5 linked regions of the Oryzias latipes genome follow. The main gene of each other region encodes a partner of the protein of the gene in region 4 in a complex. Links are inferred from orthologs where the notes say so. Each region holds a gene or a part of one and is shown on either strand. Other genes may lie near its edges. The genes, in order: sae1, E3 SUMO-protein ligase PIAS2, death domain-associated protein 6, sumo1 and RANBP2-like and GRIP domain-containing protein 8.

Evidence for each region.
Region 1: the proteins of sumo1 (region 4) and sae1 are in contact, whole or in part, in a crystal structure (PDB 3KYD), measured with the Homo sapiens proteins. The link is inferred for Oryzias latipes from reciprocal best matches to the Homo sapiens genes SUMO1 and SAE1. Residues at the interface, in NP_001005781.1 of Homo sapiens: Asp30, Ser31, Ser32, Glu33, Ile34, His35; in NP_005491.1 of Homo sapiens: Thr179, Lys180, Val181, Ala182, Lys183.
Region 2: the proteins of sumo1 (region 4) and E3 SUMO-protein ligase PIAS2 are in contact, whole or in part, in an NMR structure (PDB 2ASQ), measured with the Homo sapiens proteins. The link is inferred for Oryzias latipes from reciprocal best matches to the Homo sapiens genes SUMO1 and PIAS2. Residues at the interface, in NP_001005781.1 of Homo sapiens: Tyr21, Lys23, Val26, Glu33, Ile34, His35, Phe36, Lys37, Val38, Lys39, Thr42, Lys46, Leu47, Ser50, Tyr51, Gln53, Arg54; in NP_004662.2 of Homo sapiens: Lys466, Val467, Asp468, Val469, Ile470, Asp471, Leu472, Thr473, Ile474, Glu475, Asp479.
Region 3: the proteins of sumo1 (region 4) and death domain-associated protein 6 are in contact, whole or in part, in an NMR structure (PDB 2KQS), measured with the Homo sapiens proteins. The link is inferred for Oryzias latipes from reciprocal best matches to the Homo sapiens genes SUMO1 and DAXX. Residues at the interface, in NP_001005781.1 of Homo sapiens: Lys17, Glu18, Tyr21, Ser32, Ile34, Phe36, Lys37, Val38, Lys39, Thr41, Thr42, His43, Lys46, Leu47, Ser50, Tyr51, Arg54, Gln55; in NP_001135441.1 of Homo sapiens: Glu731, Glu732, Ile733, Ile734, Val735, Leu736, Asp738, Ser739, Asp740.
Region 5: the proteins of sumo1 (region 4) and RANBP2-like and GRIP domain-containing protein 8 are in contact, whole or in part, in a crystal structure (PDB 1Z5S), measured with the Homo sapiens proteins. The link is inferred for Oryzias latipes from reciprocal best matches to the Homo sapiens genes SUMO1 and RANBP2. Residues at the interface, in NP_001005781.1 of Homo sapiens: Asp30, Ser31, Ser32, Glu33, Ile34, His35, Phe36, Lys37, Val38, Lys39, Thr41, Thr42, His43, Lys46, Leu47, Ser50, Arg54; in NP_006258.3 of Homo sapiens: Asp2631, Val2632, Leu2633, Ile2634, Val2635, Tyr2636, Glu2637, Leu2638, Pro2654, Thr2656, Cys2659.

What each region holds. Positions count from the first base shown.
Region 1 is NC_019871.2:4,087,518-4,093,673, reverse strand, and holds the start of sae1 (SUMO-activating enzyme subunit 1), read left to right. Parts: upstream 1-2,516; 5' UTR 2,517-2,657; coding exon 2,658-2,749; intron 2,750-4,070; coding exon 4,071-4,182; intron 4,183-4,379; coding exon 4,380-4,553; intron 4,554-6,156. Other genes in the region: zc3h4 (zinc finger CCCH domain-containing protein 4), read right to left, coding at 968-1,047. UniProt on the Homo sapiens protein: The heterodimer acts as an E1 ligase for SUMO1, SUMO2, SUMO3, and probably SUMO4. It mediates ATP-dependent activation of SUMO proteins followed by formation of a thioester bond between a SUMO protein and a conserved active site cysteine residue on UBA2/SAE2.
Region 2 is NC_019867.2:30,475,454-30,481,809, reverse strand, and holds the start of E3 SUMO-protein ligase PIAS2, read right to left. Parts: upstream 3,416-6,356; 5' UTR 3,401-3,415; coding exon 3,321-3,400; intron 2,020-3,320; exon of another isoform or gene 1,983-2,019; intron 1,873-1,982; coding exon 1,700-1,872; intron 918-1,699; coding exon 830-917; intron 761-829; coding exon 710-760; intron 191-709; coding exon 100-190; intron 30-99; coding exon 1-29. Other genes in the region: ube2l3 (ubiquitin-conjugating enzyme E2 L3), read right to left, coding at 6,133-6,287. UniProt on the Homo sapiens protein: Functions as an E3-type small ubiquitin-like modifier (SUMO) ligase, stabilizing the interaction between UBE2I and the substrate, and as a SUMO-tethering factor.
Region 3 is NC_019869.2:16,000,486-16,006,719, forward strand, and holds the start of death domain-associated protein 6, read left to right. Parts: upstream 1-2,054; 5' UTR 2,055-2,356; intron 2,357-3,711; 5' UTR 3,712-3,739; coding exon 3,740-3,982; intron 3,983-4,345; coding exon 4,346-4,747; intron 4,748-4,866; coding exon 4,867-4,998; intron 4,999-5,070; coding exon 5,071-5,187; intron 5,188-5,271; coding exon 5,272-5,503; intron 5,504-5,997; coding exon 5,998-6,155; intron 6,156-6,234. UniProt on the Homo sapiens protein: Transcription corepressor known to repress transcriptional potential of several sumoylated transcription factors. Down-regulates basal and activated transcription.
Region 4 is NC_019860.2:9,898,514-9,904,270, forward strand, and holds sumo1 (small ubiquitin-related modifier 1), read right to left. Parts: upstream 3,601-5,757; 5' UTR 3,580-3,600; coding exon 3,568-3,579; intron 3,194-3,567; coding exon 3,119-3,193; intron 2,867-3,118; coding exon 2,789-2,866; intron 1,977-2,788; coding exon 1,905-1,976; intron 1,829-1,904; coding exon 1,760-1,828; 3' UTR 1,739-1,759; downstream 1-1,738. UniProt on the Homo sapiens protein: Ubiquitin-like protein that can be covalently attached to proteins as a monomer or a lysine-linked polymer.
Region 5 is NC_019879.2:17,104,771-17,110,200, forward strand, and holds part of RANBP2-like and GRIP domain-containing protein 8, read right to left. Parts: intron 3,782-5,430; coding exon 3,605-3,781; intron 2,730-3,604; coding exon 2,649-2,729; intron 2,528-2,648; coding exon 2,355-2,527; intron 1,448-2,354; coding exon 1,198-1,447; intron 909-1,197; coding exon 822-908; intron 729-821; coding exon 577-728; intron 1-576. UniProt on the Homo sapiens protein: E3 SUMO-protein ligase which facilitates SUMO1 and SUMO2 conjugation by UBE2I. Involved in transport factor (Ran-GTP, karyopherin)-mediated protein import via the F-G repeat-containing domain which acts as a docking site for substrates.

The sequences.
Region 1 (6,156 bases), on a different chromosome or scaffold from region 4:
AGGGATTTTCTTTTCTTTCTTTTGGGGGGGTGTTTGACTTAAAACATTTTAGGGATGCTTTGCAGACGTTTTGGGGACTTTTTCTGGATCTAGGGCGACCCAGTTTGAACTGTGAATAAAAGGGGTCTGTTAATCTAAATAAAACATTGCAGATTAAAAAAAATATCAGTTAAAATAGTTCACAATTAACATAAAAATGTATAACTTACGGTTTTAACGAGCTACATCTCGCCATGTTAGACATGATTTTTTAAATGCGCAGTTACGTCGGCTAGCCCTAGCTTGTCAACGGATGAAGTAATTTAAACGGATATTATTAGCTTCAATGAAATCGAAAATCGTCATAATAAAAAATGCTTTTTTTAAAGAAACTTTTAAAATTGAAGCGGTAGTAACTGGGTAATACGACAAGCGTAAAGTGGACCCAAAATTCATTTCGACGACTTTAGCCGTTAGCTTAGCCTTTGTTCTGTTAGCTAGGTTAGCATGCTATCTTTAGCCGTCAAGCTAATATTGTCTTAAAAAACGCCGTTTTCATTTTTGTTTTTTCAAACACAAACGTTACCAAAAAAAATAAAATACAACGCAGGCTAAGCTAACGTAAGTTAGCATTTTCGTGTGGCAAAAGTCCGATTCTTTGTCATGACAGAATTGTGAAGAAAACTCGTGTTTTTGGTCTTTCGACTTGGGTCTTTTTTCCTTTAAAAAAAAAGGTCGCTTCGGTCGTTTGGTCGATGATTGTGAAAATGTAAATAAAATACGGGGAATAGCGTTATTCCTTGTTCTTTTGGCCTTCCAGTTGTCGCACCAACATGGCCGTTGTCTTTACCTCTGTGCTCGTTTTCCAGTTTAATCCCTTTGAGAAAAAATGCAAAACAAAAAAAAAAGAGAGAAACCCCGGGCTTTTGTGTAAAAGCTCAGGACAAATAAATAATTTCATTTAAATATGATTGTAGAATTACTCGACCTTTCGTCAGTCAGGAGACTGTTGTGTTCGTGGTAGGTAGTTGGGGAGTTTGGATGGACAGTCATGCTTTCCACAGCCATTTCCTCTAGCTACATTGAGGTGCAAAAAATTACAACTCGACACTAGAATCTACTGGCTTATGCGTCACTTCACTAGGATCTACTTGTTTTGTTGTAGGAAGAGACTCAGTTCATAGTAGGCAACTCTCCACAACAGTTGTAAGAGAAATATGCTGAAATTGAATCCTGACGTTCTCCGTCCTACTGTAGCGACGTGAATTGACGACTGATTATCTTAAAATGGCCGATCGTCTTCTCCAAAGAAATAAGGGGCGGACTTTCCGAGTCGAAGATCGTGACGTTGGCGAGTCACGAAAATAACCGAAAGACAAAGCCAGGCTGTTCGTGTGACCCGGAGTTTGTCTTGCAGGCTGAAATGAAAGCTACCAAAACAAAATAGCGCAAAAATGATAGCTTTTTGAATTTAATGCTTTTCAAGACTACACGTAGACAAATAATAAAAATAATTATATTTAAAAAACATACACTTAATTTTAAAAAGCCGGAATTAAGTGGTTTAAAATGCCAAGGAGCACTTAAAGTTTCTCCTCAAAGACCCACTGCGATGAAAATTGTGTTTTTGACATGTTTTTGTAGCGTTTTCCTCATGATAGAGGACATAAAAGGGCAGTTCTTTGTTCAAATCTTTGTGATTAGAAAGCAGACAAAAATTGGAAAACAATTTATTATGTAGATAATCCTGCTCTGCTAATTTCAGATGAATCCAGTTGCAGACAAATAGATTCATAAACATCTTTATTTTCGTTATCTGAGCTGGAATCTGGCTCAGAACTGTCTGGCTGGATAGTTTCAATATTGCTCAGCATTTTTGTTGCACCGCTTAACCTTTTTTCCAGTTTTTCAATCTATTTGTCAAATGTAAGGTTTACACGTCTTTACAACAATTTAACCAAATAGTGCTTATTTGGACAAAAATAAAGAGGTTAGTTTGTCATAAAATGTATCTCAGGTTTTAGTCATTGAGCTAAATTACTGGTATTTTCAATATTATTGATACGTTTTATATTGTGCTAGATAAAGGTTTTGATCAGTGAACTAAATGTAACTAAAACATGGTACCAAGTTGTTTCAAATTTAGCAAGACAGCGACAGGAACGATATGTCACCCTTTTCATTGGGAGTTTCCTTAAAGACAATACTGAGGGAGTTAGAACAACGTGTTCAAAGGCACACAAAGAGAGAAAGAGAGAACGAAAAATTGTTTTTTCATCAAACAGAAACATCAAAGGAGCTCGGATCAGTTTAGTTTAGCACATTTAGCAATAAAGAAATATACTTTAAATACTTCTCTGCTTTCGGAAATCAAATAATTTAAATTGGGGGACAAAAAAGAATTTTTTCAAACATATATGTTATATTAATACAAATATATACATGATATATAATATACAAATTATTGACATAAAAAATAAAGGGTTTAAAAATAATTTCAAAAAGATGACAAGTGATTATTCTTTAGAAAATAGTCTGTTGTTTGTTTAAATGACGTCATAACCCGGCGACCATTCAGCGGGACCGTCGCCGCGTTTGAATCGAACTGGTTTGGCCCCTCTTCAAAAAGCTAATATTCTCCGAAAGGGAAGACTTTCCTTGGGAAGAAATCAATCGACATGATTGAAAAAGAGGACCCGATCATCAGCGAGGAGGAAGCGGCGCAGTATGACCGCCAGATCCGTCTGTGGGGGCTGGATGCCCAGAAGAGGTGAGTTAGCTTAGCTAGCCTCGGATGCTAACGGTTCCTCCTGGGTGATTATCATTATAACTCACTTTATTGCACACTCAGATGCGGTCCATAAAAGAAGACAGAAACAACATGCAAAAATAATAAATAAATAAATAAATACATAAAAAAACAAAATTACAGTTTACACCCATTTAGAGTATAATCTGTGCCCAGTCTGTCCCCAGGGTGGAGGTGTAGCGGCGTGAGCTTCCCCTGATATCAGCATGATAATTGCATTCTTAGACTTGTCCAGGCGCCCCATGAGGCTGTCAGCTAATAATGTAGTGGTGTTTCACAGGTGGGGATGTCATGTGAGCGTCCATAAACAGCTGACTCGCTGTGTACCACCTGGGCACCCGTAGCAGAAGACCAAAAGGCATCGCTATAGGCCACTGTAGATTTACAGAATGCCCCACGTCCATAATTCCACCACCGAGGAGTGCAGTCAGCTCTGAACAACGAACGCTACACTTGAAGAGAACACTTTTTGAATTTTCTCATCAGCATATTTGACTGAGCATACAGTTTACAGTCTCTGAATGTCTCTGTCGTCCAATCATCAGTGATAAAATGTCCAAGATATTTGTTATATGAGGTTCCTTCCAGAGGCTTTCCACAAAGCTGTAAAACAGGAAAGTTTACCTTTTTGTCATCGTTGGTCTTAACAATCATTATTCTGCTTTTAGAAGGGTTGTACTTTATATCAAAGTCTCTGCCGTGGTCAGAGCAAACTTTTAAAAGTTTTTGTCTCCCCGCACTGTAAGGGCAAAAAATGACAAGGTCATCAGCGTACATAAGATGGTTAAAGGTTTGACATCCAAAAACACACCCAGGTTTGCACAGATTTCACTTCGTAGAAAGATCATCAATTTATACATTGAATAAAAATGGAGAGAGGATCCCTCCCTGTTGAACACCATTGCTTACCTAAAATGGCTCAGATAAAACGTGAAGTAAAAAATGAAGTGATGTTTTGCTCTGAGGTGCAGAAGTTCCTGCTCCTTTCTTCACCTCCTGGATCTCCTCCTAAGCCTTCTTTCCACTGAAACGCTGCAGCTCAAAGGTTCTGGTCCTGTTCTTTGCCAGAACAGCAACGCTGCATCCCTGATGTTTTTGATTTGTTAAAAATGTTCTCCAGAAATCAGAAGTTCTCCACGATCCAGACTCAGAGGAAGAAAAACTCTCTTTTTCTTTGTCTTTCCAAAAGTAATCTTCCATATTTTTCACCTTAAACCCGTTTGGGACTGGCTTTCTCCTCTGGAACCTCCTTTCAGCAGCGTCCTGTTTGTGGCTTCTGCAGGTTGCGGGGGTCCCGGGTTCTCCTGGCAGGCCTGGGTGGTCTCGGCGCTGAAGTGGCCAAGAACTTGATCCTGGCTGGAGTTAAAGGTCTGACTCTGCTGGATCATGAACAGGTAAACACAACCACACCAGCAGCTGGGAGGCTTTTCCTTAACCCCATTTGTCCACAAGAAGCAGCTCCGTGTGAAATGTTGAACTCAATAAAATCGATTATTTTATCCTTTGACCCCCAGACTGATCGAACTGGGTTTGGTTGGGTCTCAAGAGTCCAGTTTTTATCCCACGTGGATTGACTTTCTGTTTCTTTTAGGTGACAGAGGAGTCGTGTCGAGCTCAGTTCTTGGTTCCGGTGTCTGCTCGAGGTCAGAACCGAGCCCAGGCCTCGCTGGAGCGAGCCCAGAATCTCAACCCGATGGTGGAGGTGCACGCCGACCCCGGGAGGGTCGAGGACAAACCGGACGACTTCTTCCTGCAGTTTGATGCTGTGAGTGGAAACAAAAGAAGTTTATCTAAAACCAACCAATGAGTTTGAATTAATATTAAAGATTTACTGCCCACTAAAAAAAAAAAGATTCAGTTTTAAAATGAATTTTCCATTATTGTAATTCCAAGTTTGACCACTAGATGGAGCTTAAAGCCCACATTAGCATAAACACCTTCATCTTTAGGCAGCACATTCTACACAACAATGAGATCAGCTCATCTTTAAAAAAAAAACTAAAACCACAAAAAAAAGAGTATAGCATAATTTACATGAACATTTAGATAGAATACACAAAAAATGTAGGTAAAGCTATGAAAGGTCGTGTCGCACAGCCACATTTTGTGCACATTACACAGATAAAAGTTGGTCATACATGAAAATATGTAGAAAAAGGGGAAAAGTTGTGGATCTTTACGGGAAAATTTCACAGATGACTAACACTAATGAGCCACGTCAAAACCACGGAAGAAGTACGAATAAACCACGCAAAGAACCCGAAAACTAACGTTAAATCTTCAGTGTGCCCAGACATTTGTGCGACAAAAAATTTGAACGTGATATGTGCGACAAATACGAGATATAAAAGCTATGTTTTGGCCCTTGACGGACATCTGTCAGGAAACACTCATGAATTATCACGCATGGATCACGAAAGACCAAATTTTCATACGTGGAAAATGTGCAACGTGTGCGTAGTGAAAGTATTTGTACTTCTTCCACGAACCCAAACCGCCAGCGTATACACTTTCAGTTCTGTCCCAGACCCCTGCTGTGATGTATCCTATGGGACGGTTCAGAGCCCAAATGTTCATTTACGTTCGCTTAATTCCTTTTACACATGTGACGTGGGAATGTGGCCCCGTTCACGAGTTTTGGACTGGAATTTCTAAGATATTGTTTGATTTAGTAACAGAGCCTGGTCTCCGACATTGGTCATGTGGTCAGCGGCGGCGGTGCCGTTAAAATTCAGAGTTCTGGGAAGGTGAACGAACGCAGGGGCGTTTGACCCCACCCAGACATTTGTATTGTTTTGTTTTTCAGTTGGCTACATATCACAGCCCCCTTTTTTTCCCATAGTCAGCTATTATTAGGCATATCAATAAGTATACATGTGTGTCTTTATTATTTTGTTTAGACGTTGTAGAGAACCCCTGGGGGCTGCCGTCATTTTTTGGATGGTTTGAGTTATATCCTGAAATTTCTTTTGAAATAGTTCAATAAGAAAAAAAAGTGTGATCATAAAGGAAAACCCATAAAATCAAATAGATGGCGAGAACGAAAAAAAACCAACAAGAAAAGGTTAAAGATGTGATTTAATTCCGGGTTTCTTGTTGGTTTTTTGGCATTAACACGAACCTTCGGTTTGGTTTGGACGTGGCGTTCTGAACTCTCCTGTTGTGCGGAAATAGAAACCCCCCCCCACACACACACAGACACAGACACACCTTATCACAGTGTGGCAGTAAAATATTCAAATGTTCAGCAAACGTCGACCCCCGTCTGGCTGCCGTACGCTCGGCCGCAGAAGCTTATCGGCTCCACATCAGCCATAAACTCCCAACGGCGTCGGCATCCGCCGCAGGTGGAGCGTCCGGCCGCTCAG
Region 2 (6,356 bases), on a different chromosome or scaffold from region 4:
ACGCCGTTTTTCGGGGGTGGGGCAAAACCCTGAGAGAGGCTGGATCAGTTGGTGTGAAGTTCCTCAGAGGGTTGACGTTCTGCGGGGCTGAGTACTCACAGGCAGAGGGAACAGCTTTCCGTTGACCTTGATGCACAGACCGTTGGGGTAGTTGTCCTCCTGAGGACAGCTGGTCTCCGACAGGCAGAACCTGAGCACACAGCAGGAAGTCAGAAACTGAAATCTCTGCTCGGTTGTCACGTCATCAAAGTCGGCTTTCTCCATGGAGATCATATGATGGAACTAATCTGCAGAGGAAACGATGCTGCAGCCGAAGCGGAGGCCACAAGCCCGAACGCAGGCTCTGCAGTCCTGGTCTGGGAACTCAGAGAAATTAGACGAAGCGATTCCAGTCTTCTCTCATTTCCACACATGCTTGTCAGATAACCAGAACTCCCTTCAAGTAAAAGCGTTTTCAGCTAAAGGCTCTTCCTCACAGAGCGCTGCTACAGTTTCTGCTCCATCTGCAGACTCTGTGGGTGAGTGAAGATCCCAGCAGAACCTCTCCGAATCAGCTGTGATCCCCCTGAACTTCTGATCTGATTAGCTGTGATTGGCTGAAAGGAGTGCTTAATCCTGCAGATTTCTGATTCTGAACTGTGAATTGGACCAGAGGACCCCAATGGCAACATTTACCTGCAGATTATGATAAAAACCTGAAACTTCTTACCTCAGCTGGATCTGAACTAAGTAGTCCCTCCTTCCTCCAGGTAGGAAGTCCCTGAGGAGAGGAAGAACAATCAGTCACGGGGCTCTCAGTCACGTAGCCGATGTTCCAAAGATGACTCACCGCGATATGCAAACCTCCCGGACCTGCTGCGGCGTCAGGGCAAAGATGAAGTATTTCTCCTGGTGGTACCTCTGTGCAGCGCTTACTCCTGCAGACACACAACACGCCCTGTCAGCGAACGCCTGAACACCATCAAACCATGAAGCACGGAGGTGGTAGTGCCATGGTGGGATGTCTAAAAAATAATTCACTGTGAAGACAAAACCCTTTAGACGAAGTCAGAGCTCTGGAGTCACCAACAGAAAAGGGACTTCATTACGAGGTATGTGTGTGTGTGTGTGTGTGTGTGTGTGTGTGTGTTGGGGGGGTCACAGAGTCTAGGATTTAAGTTCCACAGTATATGGAACTAATCAGCTTTAAGAAGGTTGAAATAGGAAAACATCTGATCCAAGTTCAAAGGTGAAACACAAAGAAACGTTTGATTGTTTTGGATTTTTCAGACTAAAAAAAGCCACATAATTCCAAATTGAAAATGAAATCCCATAAAGTAACTGATCGGGAATAAAGAAACATTACTGAATTCCAGATGGAGAAAACAGAGAAAAGGGGTATTTTTTTTATATGACTATATAACCAAACATCAAACTCTGCTCTGACACGACTGCTACTGAACATCTGCTCTACAAAGTGGGACATAAAGTCACTGCTCTGAAACATTTGCTGTCAGCCAGGAACTGTTCAACTCTTTTGTGTTACCCATGAGTTACGCCTGGGAATTGACAGGCTGGTGCTGCCTACTGGGATTTAGAACTTGATGTTAAGTTTTCTTCTGAAACCAATAGCTCATCGTCCTGGTTTGGTCTCTGTGGAGTCTGACTGGAATAAAGATCAGAGCGGATCTCATCTGTCAGCCCTGCAAACATCACACACCCAGACTGGAGGGCTTGATGAGGACGTCCAGAACATCGTAGAAGGGGAGGGGTTTCATCTCCACATCAGGGTGGACGGGGGGAATGAGGGGAGAGGGCTGCTGCAGGTTCATGGCGATCTCTGCGTGGGGCCACACGTGATCCAACAGGTCCGCAGTACTGGGGTGCTTCCTGCTAAAACACAACAGTTACACAAAAACTACAACACAGTCTTACACAAGCCCTGAGGTGCTGAGGTGGGCTCCAGGACGGCCCCTAACACACCCAGGACCAATAGGACCAACCATTGGTGATGTGGGCACAGAAGCAAACCAGGTTATCTCCACCTGATGGTAAAATAAAGGTTAAAAAAGTGATAATATCCAGGGAGCAGCCAGTAAAGCGTCTAAAGCTGAGCCCATCTGCTGCAGCTGGAAGACTTCTACTGCATGACGACAGAATCCAGACATCTTGACTCTTTCTGCTAGAGTCGTCTCACATGATTCACTAATATAACACGGTACACGAATCGATCACAAAAGATGCAACTAACTTTTATCTAAATGGATACAATCTAGTCATCATTGAAAAATAAAAATGAAAATGCCTTTTAACAGAGAAACTCTTATTTTTTTTAGCAACAAAATGTCTTTGAAGCGACAGCTTTAAACATTAAAGCCTACGAGTCTGAGTCTTTTAGAACCTTTTTCCTATGGTTAAAAAAAGGTGTCATATCAATTTGTTCAGGTATGAAGGTATTCAGCTCAACAGGAAGAGTAACAGACAAAGAAACCGATTTTTTGTTTTACTCCCTGATAGATTTTAGAGCTTGGTCATTTCTAACTCCATCAATGTTTTAAGCATTTCTCTATGGATTACATCCCTACTAGAAGCACAGTTCTCTCTGTTCTGTAAACTGTCATCATTTTCTTACAACTCTATAAACAAGAAACAAACACCCTATAACCAGGCTGCAAATCTTCACTAGTAGATAAATCTGCTTTAGACAAGTCAATAAGCAAAGTAAGTAAACTCCTGAGGGTATAAAAAGCTCTTTAAAGAATTAAGAGTGCAAAAGTAACTACAAAAGAGCCTGTGAACAGGTAACCAATCACTGAACCAGTCTGTAAGCAGTCAGTAAAAGCTGAATGACCAGTCTGTTCAAAAAAACAAATATAAAAATAAAAAATAAGTCAATTCCGGAACAAAACCTAAAGAATAAAGGCAACTGAAGGGTGACAATCACCCCAAAAGGTCCGTAAAGCCCCAGTGTTCAAGTTGTAAACAGAGTCAGAACAGTTGTAGGTTTAACCACAATAACCAGCCGGTAAATAGTCAGATAAAGAACCAAAAAACAGGAAATAAGCCTTCTATAACCAGGCTCTAAGCAGTCAAACAACCAGTCTGTAAACATCCAGTTCATAAAATACAAAAACCAAACATTCGGTGGGAGCCCAGCTGTTAGCGTGTTAGCTTGCAGGCTAACAGCTGCTCACTGGGCTCCTCGCGCCTTAAGCTCGGGGTCAGACGGGGTTTCTGCTTTGGTTCGGTTTGAGTCCATCTGTTCTGGTCGGTGCCGTCCGAGCTGTAAGTCCACATGAGACGTTGTTTTTGTTTTTTTCCATTCCTTTTTTGTTGCTTACCTAAAAATCCCCGCTCCCCGCCGCCATCTTCGACTTCCTGTCACATACTGCACGACGTAACGACGCCCTTCTGACGTCATGCGTCATTTGATTTCTGAACGGGGACCTCTTAGCAGAGGCGGGTAAAATCGAAAAAACATGTTCTAAAGAGAGAATTGTTTCACTTTAAAATATTTTTGATTAAGTAGGATTAAAGAAAAAAGAAACAATGATCCTAACGATTATTTGATTAAGAGTAAATATATAAATTATGTTAAAGCTACCAAACTATTAAGTAACAGAGCAAACCTGATTCTAGAATGAAACACTGAGGAACTCCATCCAGGCCTGTATGTCTGCATGTTTTCTATATTTCAACCCCCTACTTACAGATGATTACCTGGATCAGGTGTGTTCAAAGCATCCAGGAATGCAGCCCCTGGTCGGGTAAAAAGATAAATAAAAATGTGAAAATTCTGACGCTGCTGCCTCAAAGGCTCAGTACTGTGTGTGTTTAATCTAACTTGCAGAGCTCAGCCTGGGGTCATACTCAGTGAAGCGTCATTTTAGGGGTCACGAGGGTCAACCACTTACAGGTTAACCCGTTAGTCAGGCTAAACTTCTTTTCTGAAGCTGCTAGGCTTTGTCCAAATGTGAACTAATGTCTGAAGCAGTAAATATGCGTTTTCTGAAACGACAAATCCCATCTCTCCATGTAGAAATTTGATGGATTAGACTGGGTTTGGTGGTCGGCATGGGAATGGGAAATCTGGCAGAATTGTGGCAAGTTTGGTGGAGGGAGGATTATAATGCGGGACTAGCATCTTCCTGTTCCAACATGACAGCAAACCAAAGAAGGTGGACGTGGATGAAGGTTTGGTGTGGAAGAAGCTGACGGCTCCCTAGAACCCTGACAGAACGAACGCCTTTGGGGTCACGGCGGACCGTGAGCAGACCTTCTCATCAAACACCAGAGTCTTTAACGTCAAAATCTGACATTGCAAATCAACTTCCATGAGAACCAATATTCTCAATAAAATTGTAACCTGTGGAAAGTTTAAGCTGTTTTTTGGTGCAAAAACCAAAAACAGGTATATGTCAGTAAAACATCCACATGTGAAGGTAGAGGGAGAACACTTAAACACCCTTTTAAGGACCCTCATCCTTTTGAAACATGAGCTGGGGTTTCGGGGCAACAGTAGAGATTTTGAGGACGCTGTTCTTTTAGATCCAGCACAGAAAAAGCTGGACCTCTTGTCAGAAAAGGATGGTCTTCAGGTCAGCTGACTGAATAATGAACACAGCAGAGGTCAGTCAGAGCCTCTGTTTTGGAATTTCTTTAGGGGATAACTTTTCTTTTTTTTAAATGGGTCTAAAGCAGGAGACTTTAGTGGATCTTTTTCAGTTTTGCAATTTCTGAAAATCAGGCAGGAAGATGTCAACTTGTGTCCTAAACCAAGGCTGTATGAAAGAGCCCACTGGTACCCCTTCAGGAAGAATTTCTGTTGAATCTGTTCTTCACTGGGAACTCCTCTTGACTACATCATCAGACTGCTGAATCAACCTAACATGACCTCAAAGAGGTCCGCTTATGAGATCAGAACTACTCAAAGGCGACCTCTGGCCTTACATTTTATGCATCTACAGTTCCTGTGGACCTTACATGACCGTGATTCAAGCAGAAGAAAACCAGAACTCCTCCTGTTGACCTCTGCAGGATCTTGCAGATCATTAGATCAGTGGTTTGAGGGTGCATGGACTTCACTTTGAACCAGAAGACCTTCTGAAAAAGTGGGATTTACTCCAGCAGGTGATCTGTGTGTGATCACATCACTTTTGACTTTCAGCAGAGAAAGCCCCGCGTTCATATTTGTTAGCTGTAAAGTTTTAGTAACTGTACATTTGTCACCGTCCCCTGGTCTCCCACGGGTCGGTCCAGTTCCATAACAGCACCTGAGAACTGAAGCAGGACACAGTGGGCCCAATGGTTAGCCATCTTTATTATGAATGATATCGGACCAGTTTAAACAGCTGTTACATGGTGCTTTTAGGCCACTGCAGTCCCGCTCTGTGTCCTGATCCGGTCCGGGCAACCAATGTGCCGTTGGCCGCCATAGACACGTGGTTCTGGGCCCGTCCAGGAGCTCGAGCCTCCTTCTCCAGCTTCTCCTGATCTAGCTGGATAAGTGAGGCCCCACCCAACTCGGGCTGGCGGAGAGCTTGTGTTCTAGAGTGGCCGGGCCCAGCAGTGGGACAGGGGGCATGTATGGGAGGTTCTGACTGACCCAAACACATTCTTCCCACCAATGATTAACATGAAGTGCCAATCAAAACAATGTAGGTAAGCGAGTGAAGGAGGAAAAGAAAAGCAGAGGTGACCCGATTCATGCAGCAGACAAAGTGAAGGTTGTGTTCTGAGAGGAGCCGTGGATGTTCGGAAGGAAACCCGCTGGGTCGAGGCGGGTCTCTCAGAACACCTCGGAGCTCCCGGCAGCAGCTTCTCTCACCTGGTCGTCAGATGAGAGCAGCCCGATCAGGGGTGGAACTGAAAGCTTCTACTCATCAAAAATAAAGAGCGGACCTGAAAAGAGAAGGTTCTGAACGGAGGAACAGAATCGGTTCCGTCTAGCTGAGCGGCGTGTTCCCTTGCACCCGTTTCCGTTTTGTGGCCTTTAGAGAGCAGAAAGTTGGAAATGGCCTGGAGGTCAAAGAAGACGAGGGGGAGGCTGCCTGACCCACAGACAGTCCTCAATGGGAGGCGAGGCCCGGCCGGGGTGGGGAGGGGGGTTGGGGAGGGGACGGGGCAGGGGGGGGCTCTGAGCGCGTCATGTGATCAGTCCAGTGGCCGCTTCTCGCCGTGTTTCTTTGTAAACTCCTCGGCATTCTTCAAGAACTTCTTACGGTCCTTTGAGTACTCTTCTGCCAGGTCGGCCCTCAGGGGGTGCTCAGGCTGCGGGTCGTTGACCAGCGCGATGAGGGACTGGATCACTGCAACACAAACAGAACCCCGATCAGAACCACCAATGGCCCACACGCAGCTGCTGCTGGTGCCTCTGA
Region 3 (6,234 bases), on a different chromosome or scaffold from region 4:
GGTCAGGTTTTGAACATCCAGTGTGAAGCCTCCGGCTTCGTCCCTCTCCCGGTAGACCTGAGCTGGGAGTTCAGAGGGGCAGATGGGAAGAGCCGGTCCCTGGGGTCGGGCAGCATGTCGGGTCACCGGCAGGCCTGGGACGGCACCTACAGCCAGAGCACCCGGCTGCAGCTGGACACGTCCAAGCTGGACCTGGGCAGAGGGGGGGAGATCAGCTGCGTCGCTGTTCACCGTGGCGGCACGCGGCGGGCCAGCGTGACCCTCAGTGTGATCGGTAACCTCACTTTTATCGTCACACGCTCTGAATTATTTGGATTCTAACATTTTTCAATAAAGAGCTGAACATATAACGTATGGAAATGTTGAATTATTTGAATGACGGGTTTGTGAGTTTACCTTCATAGCAAAAGTGTTGAAAAGTGTTTTTGGTTTTACCTGAAGGGTTCAGCTCGCCGTCCATCGAGGACTCCATGGCGATGGTGGGTGTGGCCTTGGTGCTCTACGGCCTCATTAAGTTTGCTTCATGGACTTTTACCAGCTCAGGTACCAAGACAACATCATTGTTCACTGAAATATTGAATATGTTTTAAATGTGCCGTCATATGGGAGTTTTTGGTGTAAATAGACATTCCTGACTTCTCCACTCGTTGTTTTCAGGATCTGATGAGGCTGCTAAACCCAACAAGGCAAGTTCACTCATTTATTTACGTAAATGTTAACAGTCTTTCACTCTTGTGAATAACATCTGTTATTTCTCTCACAACAGGATAAGTGATGACAAAGCAGACGTTTGTCACTAAATCATCAAGGTGTCTCATACTTCTGATGGGGTTTCATGTGCAGCTGTCCAGCTCTTTGGTGCCTTTGGTTGATTGGTTGCTGGTTTGGACCGTACCATTTTTACAGAAAATTATTTGACCACCCCTTTCTTTTAATGTTCTTATCTTGAAAGCATGACATCATAAAAACCGAAAGAACGCTTCAAGTTTCACTTTGGGGATTTCTAAACTGTGACTGGAGGCTGTGTTTTGTTTTGTTTTTTGAGAAATATGTTTCACTGAAGATGCAAAACAACTGTCCTAATTAATAAAGTAAAGCACGTTTGTAAATAGGAAGCCCAGAATATTTGTACATTGTATTACAATTAATGAATGTCTGTCTTTTTTTGTGTGTTTGTCAAAGTTCTGCTGAAATGTTGACAAAATTGTTGTAAAAATTCCAAAAATAAAAGGTTGTAAGAAGTCATTTTAATTGTGCTTTATCTGTCCATTTCTAAACGTTTATTATACTTGATGGCGTGGTTCTCCAAGTTAACTCTTCTTACATTTGGACATAATATGCATCATGATTAACCATGTTTTAACCAGCTCAGTGGCCTTGTGGTAGAGTGTCTGCCCTATGACTGGAACGTCGTAAATTCAAATCTAGGCCGAGTCATACCACAGACTCTAAAAATTGACACTCAGCATTAAGGGGGTGAATCCAATCCAGTTCCTGTGTACGGTTGTGTCTGCTGCTCACAGTCAAATGCAGAGAACAAATGTGTGACATGTAATGGTATTAACCAGGTTTAAAAATCACTTTATTATGCCCTACAAATGAGGAGTCTGAATGCAAGAAAATAATCTAGAATAGAGGAAATTTAAAGCTAAAACAACTGCAGCTTACGTAGGCAGCTAAATAATAGACATACTTTTATTACATCTTTTAGAAAAAACAGCTGCAACTTCCAGCTTTTTCTGCCACAATCATCACAAAAATGCATGTGAGATTGCGGAGGGACTGTACATCATGCAGACTATGAGTTGGATGCTGATGTGCCGCGGGATTTTTGTCAAGGATAAAGCGTGCTTTGGCTCTAAAAAGGTTGAAAAACACTGATCTAGAGCGCTCAGACACTCTGCAGTTCACTGTTTTTTCCACTAAATGTCTGTTTTGTTGGAGAGTGTACTCACAAATCGTAACGGAAGATCCGTAGAAGAAGACGTAGTGTTGTTGTCTTCCACTCTGGCCAATAGCAGACATTTTTACTGGATCTTTATTCTTTCCACCAATGAGAGGCCTTGGCATTGGTCTGAGTGTCGCGGGCACATTTTCGGTTTCTAGCAGTTCGTGGAGCTAAATTTACGAGATCTAAATTAGCCAAAAGACTTTGCTATCCTAAAAAACGCATCCATGAAGTATTAATAACTTTAATCTGTTAGTTAAATAACCAGGAAATCATGCCGTTTTTCCTATATTCCGTTTGGATTTACAAGAAAAGTTACAGTAGCTGCTCTGTTGCTAATCTTAGCTTAAAAACTGCTGTGCGTTCCTGAAGAGCAACATTTACGTTTCTATTGTTCCTGAATAAAAGGTGAGTGTTTTAATAATATGCACCCAGTCGTGTTTTCTCAGAATTATAAGCACCGTATCTGCCATGTTTTGTGATCAGTTTTTACAAAATTTCCTTTTGTTTTCACTTTAGATTAAGTTCTGTTGAATATTCGCCTTCATTTTTTTTCGTTGACCAGAAAACTACGAGAGAGACAGACTCAGGATGTAAAAGTAAACAGGAAAAAATTTTGGTAATTAAAGTTGATGTAAATCAGATAAGGCTACTAGACAGATTTTTTTTAATGTTGAATAATCAAAAGCAAAATAGACATCAGTGCTATTTGTCGTCGAGCCATTTCATTTTTGCATTCCGAGCATTTTCGTCTTAAAAATAAGTCTAATTTGTGTCGATCAGGCAACAGAAAAGTGCCATTTCTTTGTCTGCATCTCGGTATTTTCAGGTCAGCATTGCAGCCGTGTGGACGATTATTATTGCAGTGTTTTTATCTTTTTGGATCTTTAATAATCCTGTTTCACTGTGAGACGTTTTTGTCCACATTCTCACCAGATACCGTGTTGTGTATCTTTCTCTCTCAGCATCTCAGTACATCATGACCCATGCGTTGAGATTTTCATCTGTAAAATATATAACTAGCTTTGTGGCAATACAGTCCAATCCTTTAATGAATAAAATCTAGATTTTTATTATTCATTTGACATTTAGAACTATAAATTCAACAGCTTCCACGATTCAAACCTGCATTTAGGGCCTTCTAGACTGTTCTGTTCTTTATGGTTAAAACATCTCATATTCATTTATTCATACATTGTTAGAGGTGCTGGGAAAAAGGAGGGCTAGTTTTGTGCACACAACATCCCACTTATTTATTGTGGTTCAGTTAGTTTTCATTGATAGAAGCAGGCTTGTGATTGGACGTCTTGTGTTTTGGTCACTCGTGAAAAGGGCAAAAACAGTAGAGTCCACACCACGAAGAGAAACTGACAACGTTTACCAGAAACAACGTTTTTTTATTCCTGATGAATTTTATACCTTTTTACCAACATAATCATGTGTTCATATCTGTGGTTTTCATTGGACAGACAACTGTGCTTCCATTCAGGCTCTATGGGTTTGTTTATAAACATTTAAAATAAAATAAGCCAATTAGTAATAGATTTTTTTATATAAATTGATTTTTTTGGACCCCTGATAAATTATTAGTTGCTGGTTTTTGTAACAAGGACTAAACAGTAGGAAATAAGTTGTGAAAAATGTTTTTCACCACTGACCCCCCAATATTTACTAATATATGAATAGATTTTTGAAATCAATAATCCTTCCACGTCTTGCTTCTGTACCTTTTGTCACGACCAGCGTGTTTTTCCTGTTTGCAGATTCACAGCAGAATCCGTCAGGGTTTAGATGGCGGTGGCTCCTGCCTCAATGGGAGATGAGATCATAGTTCTGGATGAAGACAACGAGGACAGCCCCCAGCCCTCTTTTTCCGCTACTACTCCCTCCTCTGATCATGGCTCCAGAAACGCCTTACCGCCCAAAGGTCAGCACTTGGTGGCCGTGCACGCCGCCATGTCCCCAAGTCACCAAGTCTCAGGGAAGAAGGAAGCTCAGGGTCTTCTAGCTGAGAATCAGAAACTGTTCTCTGAGGTGAGCTGCTTCAGGTTTTTACTGAGCCCACCCTCTCTTCTGTGGTCTTCTTCAACTTCTAAAATAAAGAATATTTTAACACCCAGCAGGTTTTTGTTTGTGCTAATATTGCTGATATCTACTGTTTTTTTCCTTAATATTTTGTGATAAAATATGTTTTTATGTGCTTCGGAATAGATTGTTAGAAACATTTAAGATGTTAAATTGTTGAAAGCTTTTACAGTTCATCTGTTTGACTTTCTCTGTGAGTCACAATTGAATCTTTTTCTGTTTTGTAAAAGTCTTATAAAGGTGTAATATGAAAGGTGTAATGATCTGCATGATTCATCTTCAGTGTTTGATTCTCTCGTGTCTTTCCTGTAGTTTGTGGAGCATTGCTCCGCTCAGACCAAGGAGTGCCCGGAGGTCCTGGAATACCTGCAGCTGAAACACTCCAAGACGTGTCCAGAGTTTCTGTCCTCTGTGGAGTTCAGGAACACTCTGAAAGGATGTCTAACTCGCGCTCAGAACAACCGCTCCAAAACCTTTGTCTTCATCAATGAACTGTGCACGGTGCTCAAACAGCACAGGGATAAAAGGAGACTGACCCTCTCCAAGGCGGCGCCCTCTACCTCAACATCAGCTTCTGTTCAGTCTACCTCCGTTCCCCCTAACAGTGAGAAGAGGAGTGACGAAGAGCAACCTTCTACTTCTGGAGTGCAGGAAGACAACAAAGAGCAAGATCAAAAAGAGGAAAAAAGAGCTAAAAGGGCCTCAAGGAAACAGGTCGGTACAGACAATAAACCTAAAAAAAAAAAGACAGTCAGTGTTAATCCTGTACTTGTTTTATTCCTGAAATCAGACGATGCCAGACTAAATATCTGGAGCACATGTCTCCCTCTCAGATCGCGTACCTGGAGAATCTCCTAAAGGTTTACAACGATGAGATCTTCCGTCTGCAGCAAACTGAGCTTAGCCTGAATGACTTGGAAGCTGAAGACTCCATCTACATCCAGGAGCACAAGCTGAAGCGGAAGGTCTGATGCACATCTGATTGTGGAACAAAAGGTCAAACGGTGTTTGGTAACAGGCATTCATTTCTTTCCCAGTTGATGAAGATCTATGAAAAGCTGTGTGAACTGAAGGGCTGCAACACGTTAACGGGCCGAGCCATTGAGGAGAGGATCGAGTACAAAAGCACTCGATACCCTGAGATCAACAAGAGAGTGAGCTGACGGCTTTAAAGGTTTCCCTAAATATCTTGGAACATAACCTCCCAGTTCCTCGTTTATCTTTTCCTCCTTTGTTAGATCCAGCGCTTCATCAACAGTCCCGAGGTGCAGAAGAACCCTCCGGATTATCAAGACATCCTCCAGCAGGTTCTGCGGGCCAACGAGCGCCACAACCTGTGCTTGAGCAAGAGCCATCTGAACCAGATCGCTCAGGAGGCCTTCAGGGAGACGGGCGACCTCCTGCAGAGGCGCCGACTCAACGACATGTTCTACAACTTTGGCTCTCACCTCACAGACAACTACAAACCCAGTGAGACTCCCAGCTGAGAGAAAAGCTGCTCGCTGCTGTTTGGTTGGATCCTTCCTTAAAGAGTTTACATGAGGAACCATGCCGTCACGTTTCTTTTATTTAATGTGTTTATACTTTAATGCAGTTTGACACAGAAACCATAGAAACCTTTTGTTTTTCTATCAAGGGTGTGAATTCACTTTTAGAGAAATAATCTCTGAAGGAGCTTGGATTTTAAATTTGTTCTTAATTTTAATCTTTTACAACTGGTTTCTAAATCCATTAAAAGCTCATGACTAGATGTTTATTTTTAAACCAGCTCTGGCTAAAGTCCACTTTAGTAAATGTTTGGAGGGCTTTTCACAAAATGTTTCAAACTGACCTCTGAACAAACAGAATCAGCTGTTACACGCTCCTCCTCTCTACATCAAATTGCATAAGATTCAAAGAATTCAAGTCTCTGTGCTACTAAATCTCCAGAGTTTTAAAGCTGTTTTCCCGTCTTTTGTCTGAAGCTGCAGACCCCGCTCTGTCGGACTCGTCTCTGCAGCAGAAGCTGCGCTCCAACAGAGAGGTCGCCATGTCCCGCCTGGAGGAAGTCATCACCAAATACGCCGTCAAGCAGGAAGACGTGGAGGAGCAGGAGAGGCTGAGACGGCAGGGCAAAGATGTGGTGAGGGACGAAAATGTCACGTATCTGCACTTCTACTGAAGTCAACGAGCAGAAACTGCATCAACAAATGTTTGCAGTC
Region 4 (5,757 bases):
ACCATTTTAGTAAATTAAAATGATTTGGAAGCTGCAAACATTTCCTTTCATTTCCACGTTTTTGGGCTCACTGCATTGATCATTGGTGACGTGGATGATCCACAGCAGCTACTGAAATAGTGATGACATTTTTATGTCTATGTTCCCTAGCAACCAGTTGGTAAACGGTTGAAACCACTTCAACGTCGCAACCACAAACGTATGATCCGAGACCCCAAATTTTTGTGTGGTTGCCATGGTGACAAGTTATCTTGACCATCATTTCTAGAGCAAGTAGTTAATGTGCAGTGGCTTAAATTAGGATTATATTCGTAAGGAAAACTTCGGAGGCAGACTGTTTCTTTTCTTAAATATTTTATTCAAAAAAGCAGAACACTCATCTCCAGAATTTCAAACCATCTGTATCAACACTACTGGCGACGAGCCGGCTCGCATCACAGCCTGCACCGATTGTAGGGGAGGGACACCTCTCTCATTTGAATTCAGCCATGATTATTTATCTCAGATTAGATTATCCTTTAGAGGTTTAGATTCTGAGAGATGGAAGTCTACGATCGCAGGCGAGTCGGCGGCTGCCATAGGTGAACCCTCAACCCCTAAGGGGTTTGATCAAAACCAGCTTGGGCAGCTGATGTACTTGAGGAACGACATATGGCAGAGTTTCATTCTAGGATGCGAAAAAAACAACAGAAAAGCGATTCTGGTGAACTTCCTGTGGTTGATTGAGGACAAAAAAAGTGTTTAGTTTTTTTTCTGCAGGAAAAACAAAACAACAAAAAAGGTTCTTTTGAATCCAGAATGAAACTCCTGAACATAAATTACAGACAATGCTTGAGATATTTTACAGAATATATCTTACATGAATAAACACAACATATACAAGCACAGTTCTTTTTTTTCTTGATTTTTTTTTTTTTAAAGTGTCATGTGGGAAGGTTATTTTGTAGAAATTGAGTTCTGCATAAATGATGGCACATTATCTGCAGACTGTCGAATCCTCTAACCAATCAACAGAAAAACTTAACGAAAAGTTCTTCAAAGTTCTGTGCAAAGAACGGTTCCACCTCGGTCGGTTCTGCAGCTGAAGTTTAGGGGAGATGAAGGGGAGGGGGGGCAACGGGTTCTGCTTTATTGATCCAACACTCGACTTGGCGACCCGGAGAAAAGAAGGACCCAACCTCATCTGAGAGTGGAATAGATCAACAGGAAATGGACCTGCTCCCTCGTTTAGCCCCGCCCCCCTTCATTTGGACAGACGCTTTGGTCCGTTCCAGGAAAACAACTTTTTTTGTTTTGAATAGATGGAAAGATCAGAAGCATGCCGCTCTGGTATGCTTCTGATCGGTTTCTTTTTACGGTTTCTGTAACCGCACTTACCCAGAATGCCATCTGACATATTTCCTCTATGAGACAATTTTAAAAAACATTTTGGGGAGGAAGAAGCTCCTAAAAACCATTTTCCTGCAAAAGCACATCATTCCAGCAAGGTTGATAAAATAAAAATTTAAAACACGAAAGCGAAATGGTTGCCGGTAAAAATCTTAGAGTGTCCTCCGACGGCAGAGCCACAGGTTCGAGTCCTCGGTCTGTCCGCCTCCCCGACCGCACACATGGAAGCCCTGATTGAGTCCTTTTGCTTTTTTGATTCAGATGGTTTGAAACTTAACAGAAATACATACATACATACAAAACCAAATGATAAAAAACATGAATAAAAGGGGAAAAAAAAGAAGAAAAAAAAACATCAGAAATTGTGGCTTTAATGATTCCAAAGTCCGCCGGTCTGTTCTTGATAAACTTCGATGACGTCCTCATCCTCCATGCCCAGCTATAAAAAAACAGAAGAAAACACAAACCTTAGTGACCACTAGTGCTTGGTTTTCGCTCTTGCGAGTGTCGCTTACCTCTTTTGGGGTTTGGTTATCTGCGATTCTCTGTCCCTCAAAAAGAAACCGTAGCGTGCTCGCCAGGACTCCCTGAAAGAAACGTCATCCTCTGCTGTTAGACCATTAGGAGATTTTTATTTTTCCTTCAATCAGCTCTCCTTGAACGCCGCCGCGAGGCGCTAGGAGCACGAGTAACGATTACATAGACGAGCTTTTAGGTGTAACCCTTATGCTATCTTAGATGACCCCACCCTTACATTGACGTGTTCTCCCTACCATGACAAAAGTGGAAAGATTTCATGTAATCCATGGACACCAGTGAAGATCACAAATCATTGAAGAAGAAAGGTTAAGCGCACTGTCTAGTGGGTCTAGATGACCCAACTCCTAATGTTAAAGGGCCTAGGATAGCACAAGGGTTAAAGAAAATTAAGCTTAAAATTACATTTAAAATTGGGTTATTTTTTTTTTATATTTAAAATCGTTGTGAATCAGGAGCAGACAAAATTAAACTTAGTTGGAAAAAGGTTGCAGGTATGATTCCAAAGCTACTACGGCAAGCCACAAGGCTCCCTTGCAGACAAATAGACTCGTGTAACTTTTTTTTATTTTCCTCGTCCGAGCATCCGGATCCAAACTGTGCAGCTGGATAGCTCCGATATTGCTCGCCATTTTTGTTGCACTGCTAATATTAGCTTGGGAGTCTTAGTAAGCTAGCGGGAGAGCGTGTCAAAAAAATAAATAAAAATCACTAGGAACTTTTTATTTTTTGCAATAGATCAAAAGATGATCAGAGTTATCTTTTTTTTAAATAATGGCGTGTTCTACCATAAGGAACTGCATTTGGATGGATCTGCGAAGGCTGTCATTGGAAAAGTGGCGATGCGTCTTCCTCTTCATACCTGTCTCTGGCTGTAAGACTCTTTCAGCTTCTTTAGATGTGTGGTCATTTTCACCTTGAAGTGGATTTCACTGCTGTCCTGTGGGCAGAAACGGACACACACAAAAAGGTGATGCAGCTCAAAAACAATAACAACTTCCAGCATTAAAACGAATACATCTGTAAATGATAAAGAATTGGCAGAATCATTGACCAAAAATAATAGCCTTCTATAAACAATAATAGAGACACCACCACGTGCCATAACTTTATTTGAAATGGAGTAGAATACGGTTTATTTCTAAATGCAGACAGTAGTGACAACAAAAGCAGAGACACAAAAACAACCTACCTGACCGATCACTTTTAGTTTGATGTACTCTCCATCTTTCTTGTCGCCTCCGTCCTGATTGGAAGGTTTCGTCTCCTGACAGAAACATCACAAAACATTGCTACATGATGCGACCGCTAGCACGCTTTCGAGGAAGGCCCGTCTGTTTACTCCGCGGGTTCCACGAACACAGAGAACATCCACCATAGACACGAGTGTGGGTTCGGTCCCGCCAGCACCAGTTCTGACCCCCCCCCCAAAAAAAAATCTCAAAAAACTACACAAAAGCTCACGTGGAGGGTAAAAAAAAATCGCTAAGTTCAGTCAGAGGCCTGCAGCTAGAACAGCTAACGGTTAGCATGTTGTTAGATAATCACGTACGAGGCAGCGTCCATAACAAACACATTATCGATTTCTTAGTAAAGTGTTGACAGAAAATCATTCGAACTCTTCAACGTTCTTTTTCTTACCGTGTCTGACATGTTTATCCTGACTGTGTGCGGGAGGGGGAGGGAATCCCTTCAAGGTGTAGCGTTAGCTTTTAGCGGTGGCTCTTGCTTTATGTTGTGAGGAATGCGACATCAAACGGAAGTGACGCAGGGCTGTTCAAAATAAAAGTCGCGTGAAGGAATTTGTTTTGTAGCGGATTGTCTCCATAAGAAAAGCGCGCGCGCGCACACACACACACACACTCATACAAAAACCTTGCCTTTTCCAGTATTATGAAGTCTTTACTCCTGTTCAATATTCAAATGCAATATATATGTTTAGATTAAATTTATATATTTTTAACATGGGCTTAAAAAATAGCATTTTATGATAATTTAATAAATAACTATATATATATAGAGAGAGAGAGAGAGAGAGAGAGAGAGAGAGAGAGAGAGAGAGAGAGAGAGAGAGAGAGAGAGAGAGAGAGAGGATGAAACAGTCGACAGCCGACAGTGTGCTCAGTGAATGTCTCAGGCAATGGAGAGCAGAGGATACAGTGCTGGAGGACAGATCCTCATGGGAAGACAAACCCCTGCATGGGACGTACCACCGGACCATAACTGAAGTGGCTGATATCAAGAAGTCCTACCAATGGCTAGAGAGGGCTGGCCTACAGGACAGCACTGATGCGCTCCTCCTGGCAGCTCAGGAACAAGCCCTGAGCACCAGAGCAATAGAGGCTCAGATCTACCACACCAGACAAGACCCAAGGTGTAGGCTGTGCAAATAAGCGCCTGAAACAATCCAGCACATAACTGCAGGGTGTAAGATGCTGGCAGGGAAAGCATACATGGAGCACCACAATCAAGCAGCTGGAATAATATACAGGAACATGTGTGCAGAATATGGACTGGAAACCCCAAGGTCAAAATGGGAAACACCTCCGAAGGTGGTAGAGAATGAGAGGGCAAAAATCCTGTGGGACTTCCAGATCCAGACTGATAGGATGGTAATGGCGAACCAACCAGACATTGTAGTGGTGGATAAAGAACAGAGGAAAGCCGTTGTGGTGGATGTGGCAGTGCCAAGCGATGGGAACATCAGGAAGAAGGAACATGAGAAACTGGAGAAATACCAGGGACTCAGAGAAGAACTGGAGAAAGCATGGAAAGTGAATGTGACAGTGGTGCCTGTGGTAATTGGAGCACTCGGGGCAGTAACCCCCAAGCTGGAGGAGTGGCTACAACAGATCCCTGGAAAGACCTCAGACCTCTCAGTCCAGAAAAGCGCAGTGCTAGGAACAGCTAAGATACTGCAGGACCCTCAAGCTCCCAGGCCTCTGGTAGAGGACCCGAGCTTGGAGGAGAAACCACCCGCGGAGGGTGAGAGAGGCGTTTTTTAAATGTATATATAGTTTTCGTGTTTGTTTTTATATTATTTATTTATTTTGTATTGGTGCAAAGCACGTTCGGTTGTGCTTTTGTAGGAAAAGAGCTATATAAATAAAGTTTGATTTGATGTAATCTTCAATATTCTAACTTTGAAGAATCATAGTTTATTAGAGACTTTTCACATGTTGATAATTAATATAATGTCAATTAAAATACTCTTGTTGTTTTAGATTTTTACAAGGCATTTTTAAGCCCCCCCCCCCCCCCATCACTCTGGAATGGCAGAGTTTATAGTAGACATTCTTTAAAAAAAAACAAAACAAATTTAGAAGTCGAGGATCCCACATCTATTGAAGTTTGTTTAAATGCAGTCTTAATTCCGTTGAGGTTTTGTCAAAGTAAAATAAATAAGCCAATGTTTATTAGGAAACCCACTTTAAGCTTTTACTTTTGTAGGTGCACTGAAGTACTTCCGGTTATAAGGAATTGTGTTTTCTCATGAAGCTTGATTTAACTCCAGGGTCAACGGCGAGCCGAGCCACTGTTAACCAAGGTGTAAAGTGCAACGAAATGAGAGGTGTCGATTAAATTGGCCCTTCAGTCGCGCACAGACACGGAAAGGCGTTCCTGGACGACCGTGTCGTCTTGGTCACAGACGCGGAAAGTGCGGGATAAACCGACGGCCGTCGGGCCTCGTCGTCGTGGCCCAGCGGGACTCGGGGTGAAGTTAAGAGCGGACTGCCAAACTTCTGCTTCCTCCCAGCGACTCTCCGCAGGGCCCGGGGCTCCTGTCACCGGCCGTGTGGATGAGTAGTTGGACCGCGGTGCAAACAACCC
Region 5 (5,430 bases), on a different chromosome or scaffold from region 4:
TTAAGACTCTGACCAAAGATCTGCAATGATTTCAATTTTAAGATATATTCATATTTTAAATATTTATTAGTATGTATATATAAAAACAATAAGTTATAAGGACCACACTGTTTATTGAATATATAATTGCCCAAATCAGATTTAAGAAAAAACTTCAGTCAGGGTTTTTACATGTTGCTATGTCTTCAGTTGGCCACTAGATGTCCCTGTTATACTGTATTCATTCCAGGCATCGAGTTTCAATGGTACGTCAATGTACAGACGCAATCTGAGGTCCTGCGGCGTGGCGAGGTTGACGTGGCGTGTCAACCAAAACATTGAACCCAAAAAATTCCCTTAACATCATCCATGTTTTCCATGATGTGGCAAGGCCAGAAAAACGTTGGTGGGTTCTCCGCGGCCGGGGCGTCCAGCAGTAAATTTGACATGTTTCAAAAGAGAGGCAGCAGATGCGAATTTGACGGGTGAATCGTGTCGGGTGTGAACGCAGCATCAAGCTGTAGCTTCCAAGTTTTACTTTTTTCTCCAGTTTTTCATGGGGACATGTGTGAGTCTGTGAGTGTTTGTGCACTTCACCTCAGGCAGAGACACTATAGGCTCAAAGTGAATGTCCACATTGGTAGGAGCCTCCTCTTCATCACTTCCATCGTCTGTCTTGGGTTTAGGTTCACAGGACACAGGAGGTTTGAATACCATTGCCCCAGCATTGGCCCAGGAGAAGTCAGAATCTATTTGAAAATAAAAAACAGATACATTTAATTTGGAATTAAAAAAACAAAAAAAAAGGGTTTATTTGGAAAAAATGAAAATAAAAAGTCAACCTTTGTTTCCAAACGCAAAGCCTTCTGTTTTCTTTGCCAAGTCAGCAAAAGAGAATCCAGCGAGTGAGTCAAAACCAAAGCTGGAGTCTGAAATAAGAACAAAGTCGTAACATATGAAACAGTTTTTCTCAGTTTTGTCTGTAGAAAAGTTTTCACAACTTAATAAAAAAAAAGAGGCTTTTATGATCCTTGAATGACTGATGTTTCATCAGAGCTCACCAGAAGAACATAAAACAAAAAAACAGAAAATGCAAAAAGACAATTGTATAAAAAGGAAATCTTTGATTTTATAAACTAGTGGGATTTGGCGATAAGCTGGCTAGAGGACAGAAAACAAGGAAAAGGACAGTTGATTAAAACGGACATCATTTCTGACCTTGAGCAGCTGCTGGAGAGTCAGAAACATCTGTACTAGAACCGGGTTCTGGTTCTGAGCTCTTCTTGGTGGACAGGTCGATGGGACAGCTGCTGCTTTGACTTTCTGCTGGCTGGTCTGCGGTCTGCCCCTCCACTGCGGTTCCGCTGGCGGCTGCTTCTGGACAGCTGGATGCTGGGACCGAGCTCGGGTCTTGAAGAGCTGCAGCTGGACGGCTCCAGCTTTTCTCAGCTTTCTTTGACTGACCAGCCTAAGACAAAGTAAATCAGTGTTAGTCTTCAGAGAAAAATGTTTTCCTCACGCAGCCGCATGTGTGCATTTACCAAAACGTGTAGGATTTCTTAAATATAAAAGAAAAAAAATCTAAATAACTATTGTTGGTTTTTCAGGTCACACTAGTCCCAAGAGTTAAAAATCCCTCAAGAACCAGGATCTTAAATTCAGGTTATTTGTGTGCATAAGAACACGTTTAGAACGTTCTTGAACATGATGCATTTAGCCATGGTGTTCAACACTGGACAAGTGGGGCGGGGCTTCCTTTCCTTTTTCTACTGTTCATTACCGCATGTCCGCCACCTACACATTTGGAAGAGGCTTGGTACAAATGTCATGAATCTTGCTCCATCTTTTTTCTTTCACAGCTTTATTCCGATAAAGGAAAGACTTGGTGGCATAGAATTTCATCTGAGGAACAAACTGCAATTATTCATTTCTCTTCCACGGTCAACTTTCAAACGATTTGAACTATTGTGAGTTAAAAGGGACGCCATCCATACATCACTACTAAATCGGAGTCCCTGATTTGTCAAAATGTAACTGCTTTATCTTGCAACGCCTGTTCAATGACCGCGTTTTTGAACGTGGAGACCAAAAACAGCCGTAGAAACTCGAGTGTTGGATGTGTGTGGATGTGTGGATCGTAGGTTAACAGTGATCAGTGAAAGCAGCTCCATTTGAACAGAAGGAGGTGAAAAGCTGGAGCTGCTGATAACTAAACCCATCTACAGTTTCCTCATCAGCCACTACACACACCGCTGTTTGCTTCTGTCTGTTCCTGCAGCTTCTCATGGTTCACAGGGATATTTAGTCCTTCAATGTCATTAAGAACATGAGTCAGTTTGTTAAAAAGCTCAGGTTTAGGTCTTTGGGTCGATTACCAGCTCATGCTGTGCTTTGCGGACTTCTGTTTCAAAGTCTTCCTGCTTGTCGTGGTTGGTGTCAGTGTCAGAGGTGCTCAGGCCACAGAAGAACGTGGGGGGAAGTTGCAGACTCTTTGCTTTCTCCTCCTCTTCTGGCGTTGGCCGTTTCTCCCACACGACCTCACAGGAGTCTGAAAGCAGCATCAACACCTTTAGTGCAAAATAGTGACTGGGACTAATGCTTTCCAAAGGTTCAGATTAAAACAAAAAAAAGACAAAAAAATTAATTGTCATGGATGAAGACAATCGTACCGTTATCAGAAGCTGCAGCCTGAGGAGGATCCGGGTAGAGGTTTCCATTTAACGCTTTTACTGCTGACTCAAAGTCTTCATCTGAAAATTCAAACAAATTCAATTGAATGTTAAGTAAATCATCAGCAGGGAAAAAGATCATCAGAAATCTGCACGGTATTTTCCGCAATATAAGGTGCACTTAAAAACCCAAACTTTTGGGGTTTTTTTTAAATTGACCATGCGCCTAATAATCCAGAGCATCTTTATGTACAGAGTTCCAAAATCTATCAAAATGTTGTGACTTTGGGAAGCGCTCTGCTCAGTTGACTGTTGGACCATTTCTCGCCAACACAGGAGCGGCGAGCGCATGGATGAGCGCACCGTGTGCATTTTGAGGGACACAGGTGGGTCAAAAACAGTGATTCTGGCAAGAACTCAGCGCTCCTCACACGCGTACGGCGTGTGGCGCACAGCGATCCGCTCAAGCTTTACGCAGGTTTTTCCAGATGTTTCCTGCATGTGACTCGGGTTCAGTCCTGCTGAATTAGTGTTCAATCACACTCAGCGAGGTCCTCTTCAGGCCTTCCCGGTGCCACCAGAGAAAAAGCTGAATAGAGTGCACATCTTTGTTCAATGGATGTCTGACGGCGTACAGAGTTTTACTAAGACTGGGAGGCAGTGCCTTGCATGGCTGGGCTTAAGGATCTGCTGTAACAGTTGTCTGAGCTTTCGCTAAAGTCGGCATTATTGCTGGACAGCCACCTGACAACGATGAGAGGGAACCTGGCGTGTTGACATAAGGACGTTGACAGTTGTGTGGGAGAAGATTGATTAAAATTTATTGTGAGTGTGGATTGTTAAATAGTGGAATAAAGTTCAACTAAACCTTTTTTTTTGCGCCTTATAATATGATGCTGATAATTATAACGCATTGTGATACAGCAAGTGTACAAATCCAGAGTCCTTTGTCTCACCGTCGGTCTCACTGTCGCTGGTGTAACCTGGCTCGTTCTTGTAGCAGAAAAAGGTGAGGGGCAGCAGGAGTTTCCTGGCTAAAGCCGCCTGCTCAGCAGTGGGCTCCTTGACATACAAAACCTCCACCTCAGAGTCTTCCTCCGACCGTGAGCTGCCCGCTGCTGCCTGAGCAGAACCTGGAATTAAAAAGAAACAAAAACAGCAGAGTTAAAACTCATTTATAGACAAAAGAAACCCCCTTTCTGTGCATTTGTCTTAGTATACACAAATGTTAGACACACACACACATTTTAAGCATATACTGCATGCAGATTGCTCCAGTCAGACAATATCTACCTTTGTTTTTAAAGAACTGTGCTATTCATTTCTGAACATATAATAGAGTAACAAACAAAAACATAAATCCCTAATTAGTCTTTGCTGATGTGCACATCGCTAACAGACATCAGGCCAGGTAGGAAATTACAGTCCGTGCTGTTGCTACACTTCCTGCTCCATAAATAGCCCTGTGACGTTTGTTGGGGACGTGCCGCTATAAAGGAACTGATTCTGCTCTCCTCATATTTCAGATGCTTGGCTTTCGCAACTTCTGCTCCACGTTTGGTCATCAAAACCTCCAAACCACTGAGCTTTACACAAGCCTAGAGTTTTAATAACAGTGATGAAAGTCAGGCAAGGAAAAAATCCCTGAACTTTTCTTTGAGCGATATGGCGGGCACAGAGCGAAATTTTGGAAAAATACGTGGTCTTAGATGCATTCTGGTGCATTCTGGCAACTAGTTATTCACTTCTTTATCAAGAAACTAAGACTAATTGGAGCATCATGATTTGTCATTCAATCCCCTAGTTTGACTCTCCATTAAGGACTTGCTGGTCCTAAAAAAGAATTTGGAAAATTGCTCAAAGTAACACAATCCTACAATCTACGCTTTTCCTTAAAGCTGCAAAACATACAATTGCTAAAATATAGTAACATCAAAGCCCCAAATGGCAAAAAGAACACCAGTAACTATGATATTCTATGAAAATACCTCAGTTATTTATACATTATTTCTGCTTTAGAAATGACTGATGTACAACATCCACTTGCACCGTTTTCTCAAACTATAATTACATCAAAATATGGGATCTGCTTTAAACTATAATTCTATAACATAATAAATCAATTCTTTAACACCAATACTAAGTAATCTGGGAAATATCAAAACAAACATACAAACTAAACTAAACATTGTAAACATTATTTTTTAAGGGAGTGCGGGTCCAAACCATCAAATACTTATAATTAATGTCAACTATACTGAACTAAATCATGGTAATTAGGAAATACAAATAAATTAGATAGAGAAATGTATTCAAAATAAAAACTGAAACTCAAAACTAAAATTGAAATTATTTCAAAATGTGGTTTTGAGATTATTTTACAATAAAGGTTTTGACCTACACTACCTTAAAAATCTTTTTTTTCCAGCCAAGACCACTTCAATTTGTTTTTTATCGTCTTCTCACAACTGAGGTCGTGACCACGCTCAATAATGACGATGCCTGCCATTTTTTTTAACACAAATTTGATCGAAAACTCTTCAGATGTGTTTGTGAAAGTTTAGCGTGGGTCCGCCAGTTTTGGTCTCTAAGGAAGCGAGTCACGCTGACCACGTGGTGCAGACAGAGCCAATCAGACCCGTCGACGCATCCGAAAGCAACTAAAACGTCCCGTCATTGGTCAATTAGGCCGGGAAGACGAGAGATGGCCACGACCATAGAGGAAGCGATCTGCGGAGAAATATAGAAAATAAAGCTAAAATTAGCTGATTTCAGACCATTT